Pelodiscus sinensis: one gene and its partners. The protein of the gene in region 3 interacts with the protein of the main gene of each other region in a pairwise test. Links are inferred from orthologs where the notes say so. Each region holds a gene or a part of one and is shown on either strand. Other genes may lie near its edges.

Region 1 (7,649 bases), on a different chromosome or scaffold from region 3:
CACATTGTGCGCGGCCCGCTTGGCTGGCTCGATTCGCTGCTCAATCTAGAGAGAGGGAGAGAGACTGGGAAATGGGGGGAGGGGTTGGGGGAAAGCTTTCCATCCTCAGCCACTCCTCAGTGTACCAGGTTCTAGGGCTGCCGTGGGGTCTCTCTGCTGGGGTTTCCTAGCTGTGGAGACAGCTGCCCGTTGAGGAAAGACAGCTTCCTTTCCTCCAATGTGGAGGGCACAGTGGGACCCTCTCTGCCTATTGACACCCACCCACGTTCTTCTAGTGTCTTGTGGGGGCCTGATGAGGCATTGTCTCTCTGTCCCACCCCACTGCCAGAGAAGATGGACTGTCAGGCCTTGCCTATGTATGGGAGAGAGACATCTGCTTTAAAGCCTTAGCTAAGTGCTAGATGGCTTTTAGCTCAAGTAGTAGAGGCTCATGGCTTTTTCCCCTAAGGACCAAGGTTCAATCCCACCTGTCCATCAGCTGTACACCTACATTACAAGCACAGCCCGTTTGCATAGTGCCCCTGTTCTACCACTGCTTGATTTGCCTGTGGAGACCAGACAGAGCTACGTCAGTTTCCTTATGAGGTTATAACAGTTTTGTCTGGTCTCCACAGGCAAAACCAACCCACATTCCAGTGTGGCCAAGGCTGAGTGATACTAGGGTTCCCTAACATGGCTCAGGACATAGTACAGAGAAAGCCTCAGTGGCAGAGCTGGCATGGGAGACAAGGCCCACCAAGCATTGGGCTGCCTTGCTCAGGCTTGAGGCTTACTCTGTCTCCCCCTGATGCAATCAGGGAGGCTTGTCAGAGGTCTGGCCCCCACTGTTGCACGTAGGCATCGTTCCAGGATACAGAACAATCCAGGCTGAGGCTGCCCTGTGACTTAGGTAAACACAGAGAGAGAGAGAGAGAGTATTTCACACGCAGGCACACCAGATGTTTGCCCCACATGCAGGCACAGGCCCACACATGCCTGTGGACTGAACCCAGGCCTCACCTGCAGCAAGTCTTCAGTCAGGAGCTCAGCTGTTTCTTGGGCTCTGGGGAAAAGAGTGGGAGGGAGAGCGAGAGACTCATTACATTTGGTGGCCTCCAACCAGGCTCTTCGGGAGGGAGGGCACCAAACCCCATTGCTCTGGTTCCGGGTCATCATGTCTCGGGTTAAGAGGAGCTTGCAGGTGAGCCCATGGACAGAGGATGTGAAGCATGAAAATGGCTCCCAGCCTGCGAGCCAAGGGAGCGTGGGGCAGTAACAGCACTGGGAGACTTCATGCAGGTTCCTTCTCTGCTAAATAAGGGATCTAGGCCAAAATTTTCAGAAGCACCTAGTGATTTGGGGCACCTCACAAAAGACACTTGATTGACAGGGAATGGTGAGTTCCTGCCCTCTAATAACCAGGGCCCTTCAAGACACCTTGGGGTTGTGCACTGAAAATCACTAGGCACTTGGGCAGATCTTGGACCCTAAAATCTCCTGATCAGTGCAAAGGAGGTAGGGAGTAGAGAGGCCCTGCCACTGCCCTAGTTCTTACGGAGGTGAGGGGGAATTGAGGGAGGGGTCTGCTTTGGGGCAAGGCAAGAGGAAGGAGGAAAGAGCCAGCTGCAGAAATACCTACCACTCCCAGTGAAAGACCCACTTCCCTGGCCTCAGGCAAACAGTGAGGTGGGTTGAAGCCATTCTCAACTGCCTGACATTAAAACAACAAAATATGTGTGTGGGTTGGAGCAGAGACCGGCGAGCCCAGCCCTGCCAGGGCTCCCAAGGTTTTGCAAGGGGAACAATTAGACGAGAGAAAAACAATAAAGCAGAGGTGGCCCTGAGCTGGGGAGCGGCCGGAATGGAAATGTAGTTAGAGAGCCAGAGAGGAAAGGAGAGCAGCGCATAGGCCCAGAGCCCCCTCCTCTCTCACTAGCCTACCGCCACCCCTCACCTCCTCAGGCAGGCTTTTCTGAGACCCTGACGGACACAAGAGGAAGCTCCCCTGCCACCGTGTGTAGGATTCAGCTCCAGATGGGCCCAGGAGGGAGGGAAACCCTGGCAGGGAATGTGCCTTTAGTCTTGTTTCTCCTCCTGCATTGATCTTCCTCTCTTCCCCCAATGGGGCCGGAGGATTCCCTCTGCTGCTGACGTCCCCACTTCCCTGGCCCCAGATTGTGACTGCCCTGCTTCCCCACAGAGGGGCACAATGTGACAGGCCCTCCCTGCCTCACCTGTCCGGATTAGGGTCAACACCTGTCCTAATTGACATGGGTCTGAGTCACACCGTCGCAGCTGAGCGTCCAGGGCCAGTCAGGACAGAGGGGCCCCACTGCTCAGTCCAGCAGGACAAGTGGAGCCAGCCCCTGCTTGTTAACCTGGCTTTTTAAAGGACCAGCGGGAGTCACTACGGAGCAGCATTGCTGTGTCCCACCAACTCCCCCAGCCAAGAGGGCTAGGGGAAGTCTGAGTTAACCAAGTCCTCCTAGGGTTTAGCTAAAGCTTCCCCAAACAGGCTGCTCTCAGCTCCCCCAGCCCCTCCCATGATCACTCCACCCAGGGCCTGGGTGGTCCTCACAGCTCCTGCCCTGGCTCCTGGCAGCGCTGGGTCTCTGGCCCATGTGCCGCTGAAAGGCTGGAGGGGAGGGGTTGTGAAATGCTCTCCAGTGCAGCTTCCTGCCCTCCCGTCAGCCCCACCAGCTGGAGGATGAAAGGCTTAAGGCTGGGTCCTTACCGTCCTGTGTTGCTGGGATAGGAGAGCTGCTGCCGCATCCGATTAAACTGCCTCTTCATCATCTTGGGAGCGGAGAGGAGAGCACAGCACCGGCCACCCCCCCCACTCAGCGCCAGCCAGCTGCACTTGTCATGGGAGGAGACAGCCCGCTTCTCTCTACTTCCCTCTCTCCTCTCCCCCTCTTTCTCTTCACTCTGACTTGGCTTCGGACTCCCGCCCTTTTCTCTCCTCCCTGCCCCGCTTCCCTCACTCTTGGGTTTCCTGCCTCCCTTTTCTCCTTCTCTCACTTCTCTTTCCTTCTCCTTCTCTCCTCTGTTTCCTCTTTGGTCTGAGTCCCACCCTCACCCCCACCCCGTCATCGCCAAGCAGGTAAGAGCAGTCAGGGCTCCTGGTGCTGCTCTCTGTTCCTGTCACCACCCCGCAAGTATAAATAACTTCAGCCAAGCCTTAAAGGGGAAATATTATTACAGCAAACATGTAACAAGGCAGAACAAGCACCCGCCACAGCCTAACCAGAGCATGGGGCCCACACACTCTCCCTCTCGTTTCCCACCCGCTGTTTCCACCGGTGCCTACTCTGCCTTCCATACGCCTTGGCAGACTCATGCGGGGACCCTGCAAATCCATTCCACTAGCGAGAGGCAGAGATGGAGAAGGCAGGTGCCATGCTGGCTTCTCACAGCTCTGCCAATGCACCTCAGTCATGAGCCTCAGCCCCCCTGCTGTACCTGACCTGGAATACCCGGCCCACTCTGCCCGTGCCTTTCCTGCCTGGCTTTGGGGCAGATGAGCTGATTCACATCACCACAAAGTACAGCTCCAGTCCACTCAAACCCACTGGTGAATTTGACACAGATGCACTAACCAGGGTCTGCCCTTGTTTTTTTGACACTGAAGTGCTCATCGTAAAATGGGGAACCCCGGCCTCTGTTAGCCCCCCTGTCGCCAAGGTGCTCCCTTGTGGGAGGTTCAGACCCCCCTCGGCCTGGTGTGAAGAAAAGATTCAAACTTAGTGCTCTCACCCTACAAGGAACAGCCCAGCTCCAGAGCAAGAGGCAATACGGGGTAGTCTCAGCTCCTACTGAAGCTGTTCCACGTTGTGTAAATAATTAGCCAATGGAGCAGGGACTTGGCTTCTCCTATTGCCTAGGCATGTGCCCTAACCTCTGCACTGGAGTCAGTCACATGGTTCCCTCCACCCCCACTCAATGACTAGCCCTTGTTATTAATTGAGGCAATTCATGGCCATCCATAAGGACAATGACTACCCCTCAGCAAAACCAAGGGAGGATGACTCTCTAATCTGGTGGGTAGGATCTTCTCCCAAGCTAATGAGAGACCCACATTCAAATCTCTTCTCCACATCAGGAAGGGGAGTGGGGAGATAAACCTGGGAAGCGAGGGAGCCAGATAAATGCCCTAACTGCTAACAGTTACAAGTTTCAGCCTTTTTTTTTATAGGGAGGGCACTTTCTTCTCCTGTTCTGTGAAGCTGGCTAACAGCCTGCACCAAAACGGTTTGGGTCCAGCAGCGTGCTCTCTTCGGCCTGACTGGATTTACTTCCATTTGCTGATTTTTTTTCTGTTATTGCAATTTTCAAATTTGGTTCAAACCAAACCATCGGTTCCCCTGAAACTACCAGTAAACCAGCACACCACTTCTGCACCCGGCTCTGCTCCCGATCTGCTGCGCTTCCTGCTAGTCCAGTCCAGCCCCACACTGCGCCCACAGGCCTTTGTGCATCACCCTCCTACCCTGAACTTGCTGCTATTTCTGTGCAGCCCTTGCAGCACTGCCAACACACCTCAGTCTTGGCCAGCAACAGTCCCTTCTATTGCCGCCACAACTGCTCCCCAGTGCTGCCCATCTACCTCACTCCTCATAAGGCAGGACAGTCACTTTCTGTTTGTACAGCGCCTTGCACAACAGGGCACCAGACATGCTGGCCTCTAGGGGCTCTTACAATAATAAATGGCAGTCTCGGATGATCTCCCCCAATAGCTGTCAGTGTATCTCATCTGCAGCTCCTGCCGCTATTCCGGTCCTGCGACCCCCCATCCCAGCGCTGCACCCCAGCCATTGCAGCAAGGGGACTCCCTCCTCCCCCACAGTGCTGCGGGCTTATGCTGGGTCCCTAGGTGTTGCATGTGCACCCTGGAGAGAGGCTGTGGCAGTGGGTTCACCACCCTTGTTGCTGTAAGGTGCACTGCAGCACCTCCCACTCGCACGTCTTCTGCAAACCAATGGCATGGGAACATAGTGTCACAAATGCGCTGCTCCAAGAACAGAGGGCAGCTCAGAGCTTAGCTGTGAGATTTGCAACCCCCTTGGTGCCTTCCTCTGCAGAGCCAAGCCGCAGCCTGCAGCAGCAGTAGCAGCAGAGCTCTGGGACATGTGGCAACAGGGCCCAGGTCTTACCCTCCTGTTGATTTTACTGGCATGCTCGAAGGAGATAATCTGTTAGACCAGGATTTTCTTTCCCTTTTGTGAGATGATCCCCAACCCCCCACAGCCAGCAGCAGCCTGTCCAGAGAGTGGTGGAGGGCCAGGGAGTGCTGCAGCTAGCCTGCACAGCCAGTGCGAGAGCTCAGAAGCTGGGACAGGAAGTGGTCAGAGTGCATGTGCACGTATAAAGAAACACACTGCAGAATTGTCAAGGAGGGAGAGAGGCAGGAAAAAGTGACCCAGCTGACCATCCCCATGCATGGGCTAGGACTAAAATAAGTAGTGCTCCTGAGGCCTTATATGGTACTCCGCACCAGCGTTCCCACCAAACTTCTCCACCCACGTGCAAAATAAATGTGTGTGTGCACCAAGGCGTGTGTGAATGTGCCTCTCCCGTAGAAACAAAAAACCTAGCTGTGGGTGCTCTGTTAAGCAATGGGGCAGGATTGAATTAGGGATATGATCATGTACACATTTAACTGATGAACTTGGGCTGATCAATTAACCTTCACAGTTCTACACAAAGGCCCCCCTCCATGCTGCGGCCTTTGTATGAGAGGCAGCAACGCACGGGGGCAGGCAGGAGCTGTACATGTGGGGAGCCAGCTCCATACATGTACCAGCTCCCGTGGAGCTGCAATGCCCCCCACCCTACGCTGTTACCTCTGTATCAGAGGAAGCGGGGGAAGGAGAGCGCAGAGATCTGTTTGAGCCACCTCCCCCGCCATGAAAACATATAACCGCTCAAAATTTCAGTTACACAGTTACAAAAAAATGATGCATTTTAACATTCTTCATTGGAATCTCTCCTGAGCAGCCGCACACATGCGCAGCTTACAGGGAACACTGCTCTGCACCCAGAGATCTCCTCCCGGCATCATGCCCATTTGTCAGCTGGGAAAACCGAGGGGTGGTCACTCTGTAGCTCAGGGCAGAGCTAGGAGCACAACCCAGGGCTCAGCCTTTGCAAGCCAGTGCCCTAGATCCTGGGCCATATTTGACCCAGGGGGATTAGAACATAGGCAAAGCAGAGAGAGGCTTACAGGCAACAGTGGCCAAAGACACGGAGACCACCCCAGAGAGAGTCTCTGTGCGGTACATCATGATGGCCCTGCTCCTTTGACTTTTTATCCAGACTCCACAGGGATCAAAGGCCAAGAAGCTGCTTGCTGAGCTGCTACTTTCAGAGGCCTCCCAGGCATCCTAGGTGTAGGGGAAGTGGTTGTGTAGTCAGGAAACTCCCCAGTAGCAGTCACACCCGTCTGCTATGGGATCCACTGAGCAAGGCCTCCCCTTGGCTGGGAATGAGGCTCCAAACAATCTGTGCGTCATGCACTGCAGTAGCTGCCCAAGCTGACATTTAATGGGGGTACTGGCAGTAGACACACAGCCCTTGGGCTAGCCCCACTGAGACACAAGGCAACAGAGGTGCAAAAAGCCCACTCCCAAGTTATAGCCGTTACTGCTACTTTCCAAAACCAAGCATCTTCCCCAGCCTGCCAGGAGGCCACCGGCGCTTAACAGCAGTTACGAGACCCACTGTGGCAGCCGCTACAGAGGCTCCCACAGAAAAACCTAGGGGAAGAGGAAGTGGGGGCAGCTACTAGCAATCAGCTGAGCAACCTCGCTGCAAACAGCACTTGAGCCAGGCCCAAAATGGTTCAGTGAGGGGGCTTGAGGGTCAGGTTAACCCTGGCACAGGAGTTCCTAGCAATCCCTTCCACAGGGCCAATGTTTAGCCCCCTCATCCTCCAACATAGGGAGCAGCAGGGGCTGGCAGCCAGCTCTTCCTGTGCTCAACTCTGCACAGAAAACAGGAAGGCACGTTCCAGCCCCAAAAGGCAGCAACTGCTCTCTGTCCCACGAGCCAGGACCACGAAATCCAGGGCAGCCCAGCTAGCCGACCAGAAGATTCACTGCTCTCCTTTGCCCTGGTACTTGGCTCCCACTGGGCAGTTCAGTGAGTGAGGTCCAGGGAGGCTCCCGAGTTCCATGGCTAGGCTACCACTGAGCTAGGGTGAGTGTCAAGGGCAGGTTTGGGTCTGAACACACATTTGGCGTCGCAGAGCAAGCCCTGCCTCTCGTTACTGGGATCCATGCTGCAATGTTCTGAAACGGGCAGAGGGAACAGGGACGCTTCCAGCACACTAGCAGTGTTCTCCCCAGGCTTGGCTGCACGGAGACGCATCCTCACATTGGGGATGGAAAAGTGCCCCAGTAGGGGGCACTCGCCTCAGCTGAGAGGGAGAAGGGACACTGCGTGCAGGGGGCAGAGATTCTATGGATGACAGATGCTGGGCTTGCTGGTGACAAAAGGGGCCCTCAGCCCAAGTGTAGCTCAGGAAAACCCTGACAGACATCAGGAAAGAACACTCTTTATTTCCCATAAATACAGCAGATTTCGCGCACCGGGCGGCTTTTGAAATCCTTTTCCATGTACAGAATTTGCACCGAAAATATATACAAGTCTGTTCGAGAACCAACAAGATC
Region 2 (7,609 bases), on a different chromosome or scaffold from region 3:
CCAAGCCAGCCAGCCCTTGTCCTGGGCCGGGTGGGAGCCGGCACCCCCCGGAGGGGACAGGCCCCTGTCTCATTCCCCGCCCCCCAAGCCAGCCAGCCCTTGTCCTGGGCTGGGTGGGAGCTGGCACCCCCAGGAGGGGACAGGCCCCTGTCCCATTCCCCGCCCCACAAGCCAGCCAGCCCTTGTCCTGGGCCGGGCGGGAGCCGGCGCCCCCTCAGGCCAGCCCAGTGCCCCGTCCCCCTGCTCTCACTTGAAGCCGCTTGGGGCGCCGATGTCAGCCTTGGAGATCTTCTTCTTCCCTTTCTTCTTCTCGGCAGCGGGGGGCACCGGCAGCCCCCGGTACCGGGACGAGGTGATGTCCGGGTTCTGGATGTCCATGGTAATGAGGTTCAAGGAGGGGGAACTCGGCTGTTTGCTGGGACCTGTGGGAAAGAAAGGGGGGGCTGTGGGGAGCAGGGCCGGGGCTCTCCCCTGGAGGACAGGGAGCGGGCGGGGGGCTCGGGTAGCCCTTTGCAGACCCCCTCCTCCGAGCGCTTACCGTTCATGTCCCCCCCGGCAATCGGGGATCGGGGCAGCGTCGTCCTGCGCTCTGGAGGAGGCAGAAAGAGCCGTGTTAGACCTGCCAGCCCCTCCCCCACGGGAGAGCTTGGGGGGCTCAGCCCCGCCCCATTGCGCAGGGCGGCGGGATCACGGGGGACTCACCTTCAGGGACTGGAGGGGGGGGTGGGGGCAGCTGCCGCTTCTCTGAGGAAAGAGCAGAAAGCGCGTTAGGATACTGGCCCAGGGGGGCCAGGGAAGGGGCCCGGGGCCCTGCCCCTCCAGGGGGGCCAGGGAAGGGGCCCGGGGCCCTGCCCCTCCAGGGGGGCCAGCGCCTGCCCTGCCACTCACCCATCCTGTGCTGGCGCTTCTGGAGCTTCTCCTCCACCACCATGTGGAAGGCGCGAGCCTCGGCCTCGTCCGCAAAGTTCAGCCCAGCCTGGCATTCCTGGGAGCAATCGGCACCTCGCCAGTCCGGGGGGGCTCCACGCCCCTCCCAGAGCCAGGGGAGAACCCAGGCGTCTGGCTCCCGCCCCCCCTGCGCTAACCACTAGGCCCCACTCCCCTCCCAGAGCCAGGGGAGAACCCAGGCGTCCAGCCCCTTTCCCCCTGCTCTAACTGCTAGGCCCCACTTCCCTCCCAGAGCCAGGGGAGAACCCAGGCGTCTGGCTCCCGCCCCCCCCGCGCTAACCACTAGGCCCCACTTCCCTCCCAGAGCCAGGGGAGAACACTGGCATCCTGGCTTCCCTCCCCCCTGCTCTAACCCCTAGGCCCCACTCCCCCCCAGAGCCAGGAGAGGTCCCTAGCCCTACCTATTATTTGTTACCCTCAGTTTTCTCCTTTTATCCCGTCTCTGAAATTGTGTCCCGGGGGCGGGGCTCGGTTTGGAAGCCCCGCCCTCGCGCCCCGCCCTCCTGGGGCAGATACTCACGTCCCCGGGGAAGGTGTGGAAATAGGCAGACACAGCTGAATAGGCCTCCAGGCTGCTTAGCTCCTGCTCCCACGTCAGCCTGCCCTCCTGCAAGAGAAGGGAACCCTGGCACACGCCCTGGGGGTCTCGCCCCGCCTCCGGCAGGGGAGCGGGGCCAGTGCTTGGCGCAGGGAAGCCCAGACACCCGGGTTCTCTGCCCAGCTCTGGGAGGGGAACGGGGGCTAGTGGTTAGCGCAGAGGAACCAGGACTCCCGGGTTCTCAGGGCTGGGACTCACCTTGAGACTGAAGAGGCGGATGAAGTAGGAGCGCCGGGGGTTGTCTTTGACCAGGCAGAGGACCCCGCAGCCCTGCTTGCCCCAGGCCTGGCTGTTGGGGGGCAGGGCCAGGTACAGCTGGGCCACGGACGTGGCCAGGGTCTGGGCCAGAGACATCCGAGTTACAGAGAGATGGCGGCTGATGCAGCCAGCTCTGGGGTGGGGTGGCTGGGAACAGCTGCACCCTGCCTGACTACGGCTCCCCAGGCTGACAGTTCCTGTCCCCGTCTCCGGTGTTGGCCTCAGGCGTCCGGCGGGACCCCAATGGGCCTCTCACCAGCCCCACAAGCGCCATTTGCATGGCCGAAAGGGGGCCAGGAAGCAAGGCCCATCACTCCTCTGCCAGCCCAGCCCAGCCCCCCAGCCCTACCGGTGCCCCTCACTCCAGCCCCCCCAGCCCTGCCGGTGCCCCTTGCTCCCAATGAGCAGCCTCTGACAGCCCTGGGCTTCCCCTACCCAAGATCTGGGGTTCCCCTTACTCCAGACTTACACCGCCCAGCCCTGCCAGAGCCCCTCACTCCCACCCCCCAACCCCTGCCCCCCTAGCCCTGCCGGTGCCCCTCACTCCCGCCCCCTAGCCCTGCCGGTGCCCCTCACTCCCGCCCCCCAGCCCTGCCGGTGCCCCTCACTCCATGGGCCCTCACCGTGCATTTCCGGCCCAGGAGCTCAAACACCTGCTGGTTTTCATGGTCCAGGAGGAGACAGGAGGGGACGTTCTCTTGCGCTCGGGCCCCGGCCCGGGCCCCTCGGCTCATGCTGGCTCCTGGCACCCGCCCCAACAGCAGGCTCTTGGGGTCTCTCCCCTCCCCGCTCGCGACCCGGCCAACTTCCGCGTCACATCCAACAGGAAGCGCAACAGAAACCACCGGCCAGGGGAAGTTGGGCTCTGCGAACAGTCCCTGCCGGGGCTGGGGGAACAGGGTAGGGGGGTGGGAGCAAGGGGCCCCCGCCGAGCGGGGGGGAGATGGCGGGGGCCCCGCCGAGCAAGGAGCGCAGGCTCCTGGCAGACTCAGGCAGTGTTGTTTCTGCTGGGGGCAGGGTCCTCTGCAGCCGTTTTGGGGGCGGCTGGGGCGGGGGGGAATTTCTGAGCCCAACGCGTCTTGTAGGTGGCGGGGATCCCCCCAAGCCAGGCCAGGTGTGAGGAGGGGCTTGGTTCCAGGTGCCTCTCTATGGGGGGTAACGTAGTTAGGGCTTCCCCCCACCTTTGTATCTGCCCTACAATCCCCCCAATCCCTTTTCCATCTGCCCACCCTCCTCCCTCCATAACCCCCCACTTCCCCCCCACCTGCCCCCTCCCAGAATGTCTCTCCCCCCGCCCCCCACAAAACACTCAGGAAGGGGAAAGTCCGGTTGCTGTTTATTGAAACCCAGAACTACCGTACAGAAGCCACCGGCGCCCTGCGTCACGTTCACATTGCGTTTCTTTCCCCCCATCCCGCCCCCCACGGCGCTTTGTGCTGGGGGGGAGCAGGAGCAGGCTGAGTGTCCAATAGAAAGAGCTGGCCACTGCCAGGGGCTCTTTTATCACTCCCCTCCCGAAATCTGGAGCCTCTGGAATTGCGTGAACCCAGGCAGGATCGGCAGGCCAAGGTGCCGGGGAGACGGAGATTTTCGTCGGGGGAGAGATGGCCCCAGAGCGATCAGCCCAGCCGGGCACCCAGTCTAAGGAGTAGAGCCCTGCGAACCTGCCAGTAGCAGTGGCTGTGCCGGCAGAAATCCATGGCGCATGGAGGCAGACACGAATTTTGGAGCGAGCACACCGGTGGCTGTGGAGAGCCGCGGGACTTTTGCAGGTGCCAGTTTTGTACCCACACGGAGTTCTGCTAAGAAGGTTCTGAATTCACCAAGCCCAAGATACCAACTCGGGACCTTTCCACCTGCAGCCCCTCCTCCCCTGCAACATGCAATACGAGCCACAGGCAACGCCAGGCCCCCAAAAGGAAACCTGACCCTTGGGAAAGTGGCCCCAACATTTTAAAAAGGTGTTTTCAGGCCTCAGATCTGGGCAAAAATCCCGCTTTGTGAATGGGTTTTTTTGGTTGCTTTCTCGTCAGGGAACGGGCATTTTGCGGGGAGGGGCAGCAACGTCCAACAAACACAGAGCCAAGATGGGGGAGAAGGGGGTCGTATCTTTGATCAGATCGAGTCCCGGAGGAAGGACATGAGCCCCGGGGAAACTCGAAACGTCTCTCCCCCCCCGCCAATGGCGACCCCATAAAAGGTATCTTTGTCGCTCGGAGTTGGATTGTGCTGCTGAAATCTGGGGTGAGGGGGGTGTTCCCCCACCCAGCTCATAAAACATGATGGTTTTCTTCGTCTCTGGGCCAGACCTGGAATCGAAGGGCTGTAATATGTCGGGGAGGGAAGCCCCCACTTTTTCTGGAGAAATCAAAACATGGGCTGGGGATTTGTTTGAAAGGAGAATTTTCTGGTTTGAGGGGTTTGGATTTGGGGCGGGGGGAGGGATTAGGGGAAGGACAAAAAGCCGGGGAAAAGAAGCGTATTTCTTGCTCAAACGCTTCCTTCCAAAATGAAGGCCCCAAAGTCGGGCCGATGTCGCTCCTTTGGGGGAGGCCAAGCAAGATACGCCCACAGCACAAGGAGGAGGAGAATAGGGGAGCGATGGAACTTCGTCACTGGGGCTTCCTGGCTCCCAGCCCTAACCACTAGACCCCACTCCCCTCCCAGAGCCGGCGCGAGACCCCGGGGTCCTGATGCTATACAGAGCCCCTTCCTGCCAAAAGAAGTGCACCTCGTGCTGCGTGTACCCGGACGCAACCATGATCACGAAATAATAGAGTTCATGATCTTAAGGAAAGGTAGAAGGGAGACCAGCACAATTGAGGAAATGGATTTCAGGAAGGCAGATTTTGATAAGCTCAGAGAACTTGTAGGTAAGGTCCCATGGGAAGCAAGACTGAAGGGAAAAACAACTGAGGAGAGTTGGAAGTATTTCAAAGGGACGTTGTTAAGGGCCCAAAAGCAAACAATTCCGCTGTGTAGGAAAGATAGAAAATATGGCAAAAGACCAGCTTGGCTTAACAAGGAGATCTTGCACGATCTCAAAATAAAAAAGGAGTCCTAGAAAAAATGGAAACTAGGACAACTAACAAAGGATGAATATAGGAAAGCAACACGGGAATGCAGGGGCAAGATTAGAAAGGCAAAGGCACAAAATGAGATCAAACTAGCTACAGGCATAAAGGGAAACAAGAAGACCTTTTATAAATACATTAAAAGCAAGAGGAAGACCAGGGTAGGCCCACTGCTTAGTGAGGAGGGAGAAGCAGTAACAGGGAACTTGGAAATGGCGGAGATGCTCAATGACTTCTTTGTTTCGGTCTTCACCGAGAAGTCTGGAGGTGTGCCTAACGTAGTGAATACAAGCAGAGAGAGGGTAAGTTTAGAAGATAGGATACACAAAGAACAAGTTAAAAATCACTTAGGAAAGTTAGATGTCAGCAAGTCACCAGGTCCTGATGAAATGCATCCCAGGATACTCAAGGAGCTGATAGAGGAGGTATCTGAGCCTTTAGCTATGATCTTTGAAAAATCATGGCAGACAGGGGAGATTCCAGAAGACTGGAAAAGGGCAAATATTGTACCCATCTATAAAAAGAGGAATAAGAACAACCCAGGAAACTACAGACCGGTCAGTTTAACGTCTGTCCCAGGGAAGATAATGGAGCAGGTAATTAAGGAAATCATATGCAAACACTTGGAAGGTAATAAAGTGATAGGGAATAGCCAGCATGGGTTTGTGAAGAACAAGTCATGCCAAACTAATCTGATAGCTTTCTTTGATAAGATAACGAGCCTTGTGGATAAGGGAGAAGCGGTGGATGTCATATACCTAGACTTTAGTAAGGCATTTGATACGGTCTCGCATGATATTCTTATTGATAAACTAGGCAAATATAACTTAGATAGGGCCACGATAAGGTGGGTGCATAATTGGCTGGATAACCGTAGTCAGAGAGTTGTTGTTAACGGTTCTAAATCCTGCTGGAAAGGGATAACAAGTGGAGTTCCTCAAGGGTCTGTTTTGGGACCCGTACTGTTCAATATCTTCATCAATGATGTAGATATTGGGATAGAGAGTACGCTTATTAAGTTTGCAGATGATACCAAACTGGGTGGGGTTGCGACTTCTTTGGAGGATAGGGACATAATTCAAAATGACCTTAGCAAGTTAGAGAAATGGTCAGAGGTAAACAGAATGAGGTTTAATAAAGAGAAATGCAAAGTGCTCCACTTAGGAAGGAACAATCAGTTCCATACATACAAGATGGGAAGCGACTGTCTAGGAAGGAGCATGGCGGAAAGGGATCTAGGGGTCATAGTGGACCACAAGTTGAATATGAGTCAACAGTGTGATGCTGTTGCAAAAAAAGCAAATATGATTCTAGGTTGTATCAACAGGTGTGTTGTAAGCAAAACTCGTGAAGTCATTCTGCCGCTCTACTCTGCACTAGTTAGGCCTCAGCTGGAGTACTGTGTCCAGTTCTGGGCGCCACATTTCAAGAAAGATGTGGAGAAATTGGAAAGGGTACAGAGAAGAGCAACAAGAATGATTAAAGGCCTAGAGAACATGACCTATGAAGCCAGGCTTCATGAACTGGGCTTGTTTAGTTTGGAAAAAAGAAGATTAAGGGGGGACATGAGAGCGGTTTTCAAATATCTAAAAGGGTGTCACAAGGAGGAAGGAGAAAATTTGTTCCTCTTGGTTTCTGAGGACAGGACAAGGAGTAATGGGCTTAAAGTGCAGCAGGGGAGGTTTAGATTGGACATTAGGAAAAAATTCCTAACTGTCAGGGTGGTCAAATATTGGAATAAATTGCCAAGGGAGGTGGTGGAATCTCCCTCTCTGGAGATATTTAAGAACAGGTTAGATAGACATCTGTCAGGGATGGTGTAGACGGAGCTTGGTCCTGCCTTGAGGGCGGGGGGCTGGACTCGATGACCTCTCGAGGTCCCTTCCAGTCCTATTATTCTATGATTCTATGATCCCAGGGCAAGAGGGGTGCTGTTTCTTTGGGGGTCCCCCCGGCCACCCCATAAAGCGGCTGTGTCCCAGCCTGGATGGGATGCGGCTCCCAGCTCCGTGGGCCGCAACCAGAGAAGGACCCTGGTCCAGTTGGGAGGGGGAGCAAATCCACCATGGCCCGGACACAGACACTGGGGTTGGGGTTAAATTCGGGGTGGGGACAGGAGAGGGGTGTCGTGTAGCCAGGAGGCTCTGAGGGGCTGCCCCCCCCGGGGGGGGATTTAAGGCACTGGCTGGAGAGGCACTGAGGACTAAGGCCACTGTGGTAGGGGAACAGTGGCGATGCCTGTGGGGGTGCTGGGATTTTTCTAGAGGGGAGACAGACGCATCAGGAAAGATCTAGAGATCTTTGGAGGTGGGTATCGGCATATTTCTAGAGGGGAGAGGTGGGATCTAGAGGGTTCTGGAGGAAAACAGACACAAGGATTTTTCTAGAGGGGAGCGGAGCCATGAGGGTGAGATCTAGACACTTTTTGGAGAGGAAGCAGAGAGCCCGGGATTTCTCTAACAGGGAGCCCCATGTTCCCTCTAATCGCTTCCATCCATGTGCGGAATTATTTTGTTATGTGCACCGAGGCGCGTGTGAACGTGCACCACTAAGACACAAGAAATCAATGTGGGTGCTCGCACAAGCGCCCAGCTCACAGGGAACACTGGGGGAGACGTAGCTTCCGCCAGCTCTGGGGGGTGTCTGTACCCCGCTTCCCTCCTGCCCACCCATAACCCTCGCTCTCCAGCAGGGCTGGACCTGTCGCTGGGGGGTGAGGTAGTTTGAAAAG
Region 3 (7,531 bases):
AGAGCTAGATAGATTCATGGATCATCTATTAGCCAGGATGGGTAGGGATGGTGTCCCTAACCTTTGTTTCTCTGGAAATGAGTGACAGGGGAGGGATCACGTGAGGATTACCAGTTGTGTTCCCTCTCTGGGGTACCTGGCATTGGCCACTGTTGGCACACAGGATATTGGGCTAGATGGACCTTTGGTTTTACCCAGTCTGGCCATTCTTATATCCTTATGTAGTCGATAAGGGGGTTCGCTGTGGCTCTGCTTTTTAAATATGGTAAGAGCCGCCTGGCTCATGCCATTTCCCCCATTCTAAGCCTGCTCCTCCCCCCCTTGCTGCCTCTGATACCGAGGCAGCAAGGGGGGAGCGACTAGTTGAGTAATGACTCGACTACCCAATAAGCCTAGGTTATCAGACAGCCAACTAGTCACTTACATCCCTGGTCTATACAGAGGTTCCCTGAGAAGTTTGCACTGAAGCAGCTGAGCACGTGCAGTCACAGCTGCACCATACATCGTACCCCCGCTGGATTAAAACTCGCTCCAGCTAGACACCCTGCAACCAGACCTGACAGAAGCACAGCCTTACCCCTGAGCGAGGGGACAACTCGCCCCCATGGAAAGCTTGCACCTAAACCCAACAGTTATCTCCAGAACAAGCTTTCTAAAACTCTCCTCTCCTATGCATCTGGCTTCTGTGAAAGCTTGTGGCCATGAGTTCCACAGGCTACTTGAGTGGGAAAGAGAGTTGGTTCCTTTCCTGGGAAAATAAGGGACCACTTGGAACCCTGGGAGCCTAGGGAACTCTGGAGTGGAGAAAGAGACAAGACAAAGTGGGGGGTTTCTATATAAACGTTAGCACCCCTCTGACTGTGACAAGCTGGATCATGTAAAGAAGTTAAGTGGCTTGCGAGATGCTAATTTTAGTGTTGATTTTACAACTGCTGGGGGGGGGGGGAAGAAGAGGAATTATGACTTGTGTCCCCACACAAAGCATCATCAGATTGACACCCCTCACTGCAGTGGATTTTGGGGCTACGGCTCTGTGTGTCAATGTCAGGGGGCCGCTACCTCCCCCAATCCCGCTAACACAGTCTCCCAGGGAAGCGCTAACCAGGGGTGAGCAGCCAAAAGCCGTCCTGCAGGGGATTTTAAAACAAGCAGGGAAATCCCCCAGCTCATCTGCAGAGAAAGGAACAAGGAGTCAGGGTTTAAATCATCCAGAGGTGGGATTTTGGCTGGGGATTTTCATGACCGTTTTCTCTCCCCCGTGCAGCCAAGAACAGTGTCAGAGGGGAGGGGGCGTCATTTGAGAATGATGCAGCACTGCTAAGCCTGGTGCTATTTTTAATGCTGCTTCAGACAGGACACCCCATCTCTCCTCCTCCCATCCCAAAGCCCTTTTAATGGCTGTTACCCAGGGGCGGGAGGCCATGCAGCACCTTAAGGCTGCCACTTAAAAAATCAGCACACCAAGGTTAAACAACAGTTAAAGCCCAATAATGAGATTAGGGGCGCTGAACACACATCCTATTACTGCACCAGGAGGGCTCTTTAAAGGGACCTGGCTGCCACATTTTTTCTGCAGCTCCAAGCCGGGCGATTACATGGGCAGCCTCGTTTTTACTGTCTCCCCGGAAGCAGCAGGTGCTGAAGCTTTGAGGAGTTCCCGCCCCAAAAGCCCTTTTCCGCCTAGGGAGACCGACATGCACGTGGCATCTGCGCACACAGGCAAAGCAGATTTTTGACCGAAGTGAAGTGCTGCAAAGCTCAGTTTAGGACAGCTTACGTGGTCTACCAGCAGTGGGGCCTAGTGGTTATGGCACTGGATTAGGAGTCAGGAGACAGATTCTGTTCTCAACTCGACTACTGACATGCTGCTTGCCAATTCACTTCCCTTCTTGGTGCCTCAGTTTCCTCTCCTGCCCTCTGTCCGATTGTGAGCTCCTAGGTGACTGTTTCTGCAGCATCAAATATGAAAGGACCCTGAATTTGATTGGGGGCGGGGGGGCTCATCATATTTCTTACAATAGTGTCTAAGGAACAACAGAGGCCAGGGCCCCATTGTGTCTGTGCAGCGCCCGGCACAGCGAGAGACAGACCCTGCCCCAAAGCACTGAGAATCCGGATACCAACCCCTTGCTTGGTGCAGCTTTACGAGGGCCTGGACACCAAGGGCCGTAGAAGTGGGGCAAATCCCCACTGCCGACAAGGCCTCCACGGCTCTGCTCCAAGACGGGGAAGTTTCCCCCAGGTGGGAACGGCCCTTACAAGGAGGGGACTGGTTCATTAGAGCAGAAGCCACTGAGGGGTTCCCCAAGACGCCCCATTCATCTGGCTGGAGGGCAGCTCAGGTCTGGAAAGCCACCGCTCCTTCGGGTCCTTATAGATCAGCTCCCCGCCGTGCCAGAGTTTTGGCGGCTCACGCTGGGGACAATTCGCTTCCCGCTGTTGCGTTACAGCCATTGACACCGCTCTATGGAGCCACAAACCTCTGCCTCTGCCTAGCACCGGGTGGCCAAGGAGCGCAGGCCTTGGGGCACCATGGCAGGGTGGAGGGGAGGATGGAGAAACGTCCCACGCTTGGAGGGTGTGCACCTTGGACTGGAGGGGGAGAGGGTCCGTCTGCCCTTGGGGAAGGACAGATGGAGCTGGGAAGAGAGGTTTAGTTCCAAGGCAACATGGGTCAGGTAGATAAGATGAGAGAGTCAGGACTCCTGGGTTCTATTCCCAGGAAGGATGTGGAAAGGGGGAGGCTTACCTGTTCCAGTAACCAGTGGGGTCTGGAGCAGCCTCCAGCTTGCTGCGGACAGGGGCCGGGAGCCGGCAGCAAGCCCCAGCACAGGCGCTGGGGGTAGGAGCCCCACATGCTGGGTGCAGTCCCCTGCCCGGATCTTGCTTAGTCAGTGAACCAGTTAAACCTTAGGTTTACTGATTGACCAGGATTTTACATTCCTAATACCCAGGCTTGCCTCTGACCTTGGCATCTTCTGACCAGGCCTCAGTCTCCCTTCCCTTTTGACTTAGCATGGAAGCTGTTTGGAGCTCTCTTAGGCAGTAGCTACACTAGGAAATTGGCACGCCTCACAAGCAGAGCCCTGCTCCTGTGGATGCAGCAATATCAGCCTTGGATCCACCCCGCGTGAAACAAGCTGTGCCAGTTTTCCCAAAATAGCTGCACCCACACTTGGGGCTTCTGCCAGCCTAGCTGTTGGCCACGGATCACAGCCTGGGCGGACACAGCTCTGCCGGCAGAAGCCTGCTAGGGGTTCTCATCTCCAAATGCTACTATGATACAAATCAATGAGGAAAAAAAAGACCAGGCTCTCGGGTATATGCAATAAACCCGGTGGCCTGTTTTCAGCTCGACTCTGGTTAGTTTCACCAGTTTTCCCCTGCAGGTGTCTTACACAGCAATGGGAAGAGAGATTCTTTACACACACACACACACGCCCCCCCCAACTGATTGCACAACCACAGTAAACAGGAGGGAGGAGCGAGCGAGCACCTGGACGAGGAGATGGTTGGGTTAACATTTGCAATGGCCTCTTTGAGGAAAAGAAGATCGGAATCACCAGGCTGGATAAAAGCAACAATCGGTCGAACCCTAAACCCCGGTCTCTGCAGCAGCACTCGATGCGTTAGAGGGAGACACAAGAAACCCCTCAGGTATGGGGAGCCTAGCGACTGGCCAAGAAGAGCCTGGCCCCAAGATTAAGGGGGTGTCTTCAATGCAGAGCGATCAGCATCAGGAGCGGAGCAGCCAGGGCAGGCGCGAACAGCCCGACAGCAATGAGTCACCATTACTGCTTTCACCTGGGGGCGCGCCCCATTGTCTCTGCAGCATGCTCCAGGATTTCCCCCCCCCAGCAAAAAGAAGGGAAAATCCATCTGTCCTCCAGGGCACAGAGGGGAATTGTGGGGCAGCACCTTCAGACCTGCAGCACTGGTGTGATTTTTAGCCTGTGTCACACTGCACTGCTGCAATCTAGCCCAAGTGAAAGAGGTGCCATCAGGCAAGCCAGCAAGCCTGGGGTGACAGCACCCTCACACTCGGGCGAGAGGACTGTGTGCGGATGAGAAGGGGAGAGGGAGTGACGCCCAAGGCAGACTCCACGTTACCCTGCTCTCTGAAGAGTTTATAGCCATCCTAAGGCAGAAGGATTCATGGCCCTGCCTACATTTTGGGGGGTTGCTTTTTGTTTTATTATAAGCCAGGATGCTTTCATCCATACCTTTTAAAAATCCTGCTGAGGTTGTAGCTAATTATCTTATAGCAAGGAGTTCCACAGGTCAGCTGTGTGTAATGGGGGGTGGCACCCTTCCAATGATTGGCTTGCCATCTGACCCCTTTCAAGACCTCCCTTACAAAGGGAAACATCTAAGCTGTGGAGATCCAACATTGCTAACTACGTTTAAAGATTTCACGGCAATTTAGCAGAAATTAAATGGTTTTGTGACCATTGTTCCCTGACAGCTTGTGTAACTGCTCAGGAGAGAATCAAAGGCTGCCCAGCAGCATGTCAGCAGCAAAGTTTTTGTTTCTACTGATGGTGCCCCAGAGCACATGAAAAAAATTATTCCACACCTGAATGGGAAAAAAAATCCGCACATGGATGGAACAGATTAGAGGGAACTTTTGTGACCGTGTGTGAGTGTGTGTGGAAAAGAGTTCTTTCCATGCATTGTCTGCAACCAATGCATATAAGTGCCCAGCAGGCACTGCTCACCAGGAAGTGAAACAGACTAGTAACAGCAGTGAAATTGACTAACCCAGCTTCAATCTGCAGGCTGAGTGAATGCAAACCAGAGCTGTAAGAAACTGGATTTTAAGTCAGAGATTCGGGTTTAGTCACTTATGACGTCTCGAAGCTCACGTTGTTGTACAGGTGCTGGAAAGATTAAATGACTCGCCCAAGATCATGCTGCAAGACTACAACACAGCTGGAGGACAGAACTCTTGAGTCGGACTCGTTGAATAAAACCACACTCGCCCATGGGCCCAATTCTCGGTCTTTCCCCTCCTCCGACCGCTACTGATTTCTGCTTCCCTTCAGAGTTATCCGTTTCACTTTGAGAACCCTCATCCAAGCACCACTGACTAATATTAAAAGACAGCCAAAAAGGTTCCTTTACCACTCCCTGTAAATGACTTTCAAGATTTCTGACCAGAGATAAGACAGCCCAGACTTCAGGACGGGACTGATCTTGTGTACAGAAGATTTAAGAACTGAAAGCAAGAAGCCAAAAGGGGGAGGGGGGGGGGGGGAGAGAAACATTGCGACATGTCAAACTTCAAACGTTTCTGAGCAGACAAACTCAGAGCCAGGGGATCAGAGAGACGTTTGAGCAGGCAGGCACAACTGGGGTCCACCAAGATTTGGAGAAGCCAATGCAAAAGCAGCATCGCACAACACTAAAAATAAAATCTAAAAGTTGCTTGAAACCTGATCCTGCCTGGCTGGAACCTGGAAGCTGAGACCTGCAGGAGTTGCTCTAATTGCTCATTCAGACTGCAGCCACCTGAAGTGACCCCAGCTTCCTCCTCTCCCATCATCATTTGGGGAAACGCCTCATGGCAGGGCCAGAGCCTGGTTTACACTGGGTCTCTTATGGCCCTCAGGCAGCCCAAAGCAGCCCTGAAAGAAGCAGGTGGGAGAATCACAATGATGGTTCCCTTTGCAGTCTCCGCGTGCCGGTTCTGCCGCAATTCGACTTTTGAAATGTATATTTCAAAGGCTCAGGAGTGGCAGAGAGCGCGGGGCTTTCGAACTGTAGCAAGAGGCTCTTCCTACAGTTCAAAGGCAGAGGCGCTCTTATCTACCAATCGAATAGTCGATAGACTTCGACTAGTTGATTAATTTAAATTTAACATCCCTACTTTGGCCACCTCAGGGAGTAGCCCTGATGCCAGCTGTGCCGGCGTAGCCAGAGCAAAATTGCTATTAGCCCGGAGGGGGAGGGAGGGGAGGGCGCGACCCAGCACTGGTACGAGCCTCTGGCAAGTGGCCTGGCTGGACGGGTTTGCAGCCCAGCGTGGGAGAGCGTTGGTGCCATGACCTGGCTCCGGACTGGCACACCACCCTGCCGGGCGACCCCAGCTTCCAGCACAAACCTGGAGGGCCGTCCGGGGAGGTGGGGGGTAGCCTAGGGCATTCCCACTGCTCCACCCCACCCTGCCACCACATCGTCCTGCCGCCCCACTGCGCCTCGCTTCTCAGCAGCGGCGAGGAGTCAAGTACGCTGAGGTTGGGGCCTTCTGCTTCCTGCTGCCTCAGAAAAGCCAAGCGCAGCGGGCGAGGGGAGGGTGGCGGGGTGGGGCAGAGGAGGCTGCTGGGCTGCTCTGGCGAGGGGGCAGTGACTCCTGCTGCCACCCTGTGCCAGGCCCATCCATAGGACTGCCACAGGGTCCCCCAAAGCACAGACCGGCGGGAAGGGAGCTGCCCCAAACTATCCTGTGCCAACACGCTATTGGGTAGGACTCAGCTGCACAGGGGAGTTACCCCAGAATGAGGTTGGCTGTGGATGTTCTGAGTTCCTGCTCTTCCGAAAGAATTGCGTCCACATGGGACGGTTATCCAGATTAGCTAAGCCGGTCAATTTCCTCAGGCAGACTACCTCTTAGTAGTACATAACAGTAGCACCTGGCTTCGATCAAGGCCCCGCTGTGAGCACACCTAGCGGGAAAGTGCCTGCTCTAAAGAGCTGCTCAAAAGGGCCCAAAGGAAGAGCCCTTATCTTACAGCTGGGAAACTGAGGCATGGAGCCATGACGTGACTTGCCCACGGTCACGCAGTAGGCAGCAGAGCCAATAACTGACGCCTGGTCTCTCTCACCCCAGTGACTTACCCACTAGGCTACCCTTCTTCTTAGTCCATCCTCCTTCCCCGCCCACCTCCCCCAGGCTTTGCAGCCCCCACCAATGAGGGGGCCATGGCAGCCAGAGTCCTGGCCCCTTTAAATCGCCGCCAGAGCACCACGTGGCATGCTCTGGGCAGCTCTGAGGCCTGGCAGGAGGCTGGGGAACAAGGTGCACTCCAAGTAGTGCTAAGAGCCAACTACCCCAAACCCCACCCCTTCCATCCAAGCCCCGCCCCTTCCGCCCAAGCCCCGCCCCTTCTAGGAACATGCCGTCACACACGCACACCTACCGTGCCCAGGGGCTCGGCCATTGTCAGCCCTCCCACAAGGCTGCCACTAGCCTCGCTCAGGAAACTGGTGACTAGGTTGTATTTTGACACAAATGCCTGCTGGGAAGGCTCCTTCCTGGTGTCAAACGCAACCAACCTGCCACACAACCGCCGAGGCAGCTGCACAACCAACAAAGGAGGTGATCACGCCGCAGCCCAGGGCCTGCCAGAGCCCCCCCGAACAGACACGGCAGCAGGACTAGCTCCAAAGATACAGCCCAGCCCAGTCCCCGGGCTGGGCTCTGTAGGGATGGGGTCCGACCCGAGGCCCATTGAATCCGCAGCCTCTCTCCTGAGAGGGGCAACATGAGATGGTGCCAAACAAGACCATGATGGGGGGGGCGGGGTTTCCT

What was found.
Region 1: the proteins of TRIP10 (region 3) and SH3BP1 interact in binary tests that used the Homo sapiens proteins (3 or more experiments, as listed by UniProt). The two-hybrid records come from large-scale screens. The link is inferred for Pelodiscus sinensis from reciprocal best matches to the Homo sapiens genes TRIP10 and SH3BP1.
Region 2: the proteins of TRIP10 (region 3) and WAS interact in a two-hybrid assay, tested with the Homo sapiens proteins (2 studies listed by BioGRID). The link is inferred for Pelodiscus sinensis from reciprocal best matches to the Homo sapiens genes TRIP10 and WAS.

The regions. Positions count from the first base shown.
Region 1 is NC_134711.1:92,440,778-92,448,426, forward strand, and holds the start of SH3BP1 (SH3 domain-binding protein 1), read right to left. Parts: upstream 3,053-7,649; 5' UTR 2,776-3,052; coding exon 2,714-2,775; intron 2,666-2,713; exon of another isoform or gene 1,619-2,665; intron 1,043-1,618; coding exon 1,000-1,042; intron 46-999; coding exon 1-45. UniProt on the Homo sapiens protein: GTPase activating protein (GAP) which specifically converts GTP-bound Rho-type GTPases including RAC1 and CDC42 in their inactive GDP-bound form.
Region 2 is NW_027466045.1:200,663-208,271, reverse strand, and holds the start of WAS (actin nucleation-promoting factor WAS), read right to left. Parts: upstream 3,011-7,609; 5' UTR 2,539-3,010; coding exon 2,428-2,538; intron 1,886-2,427; coding exon 1,745-1,885; intron 1,556-1,744; coding exon 1,469-1,555; intron 986-1,468; coding exon 889-985; intron 745-888; coding exon 703-744; intron 590-702; coding exon 539-589; intron 423-538; coding exon 251-422; intron 1-250. UniProt on the Homo sapiens protein: Effector protein for Rho-type GTPases that regulates actin filament reorganization via its interaction with the Arp2/3 complex. Important for efficient actin polymerization. Possible regulator of lymphocyte and platelet function.
Region 3 is NC_134729.1:11,915,752-11,923,282, forward strand, and holds the start of TRIP10 (cdc42-interacting protein 4), read right to left. Parts: upstream 3,018-7,531; 5' UTR 2,858-3,017; coding exon 2,750-2,857; intron 1-2,749. UniProt on the Homo sapiens protein: Required for translocation of GLUT4 to the plasma membrane in response to insulin signaling. Required to coordinate membrane tubulation with reorganization of the actin cytoskeleton during endocytosis.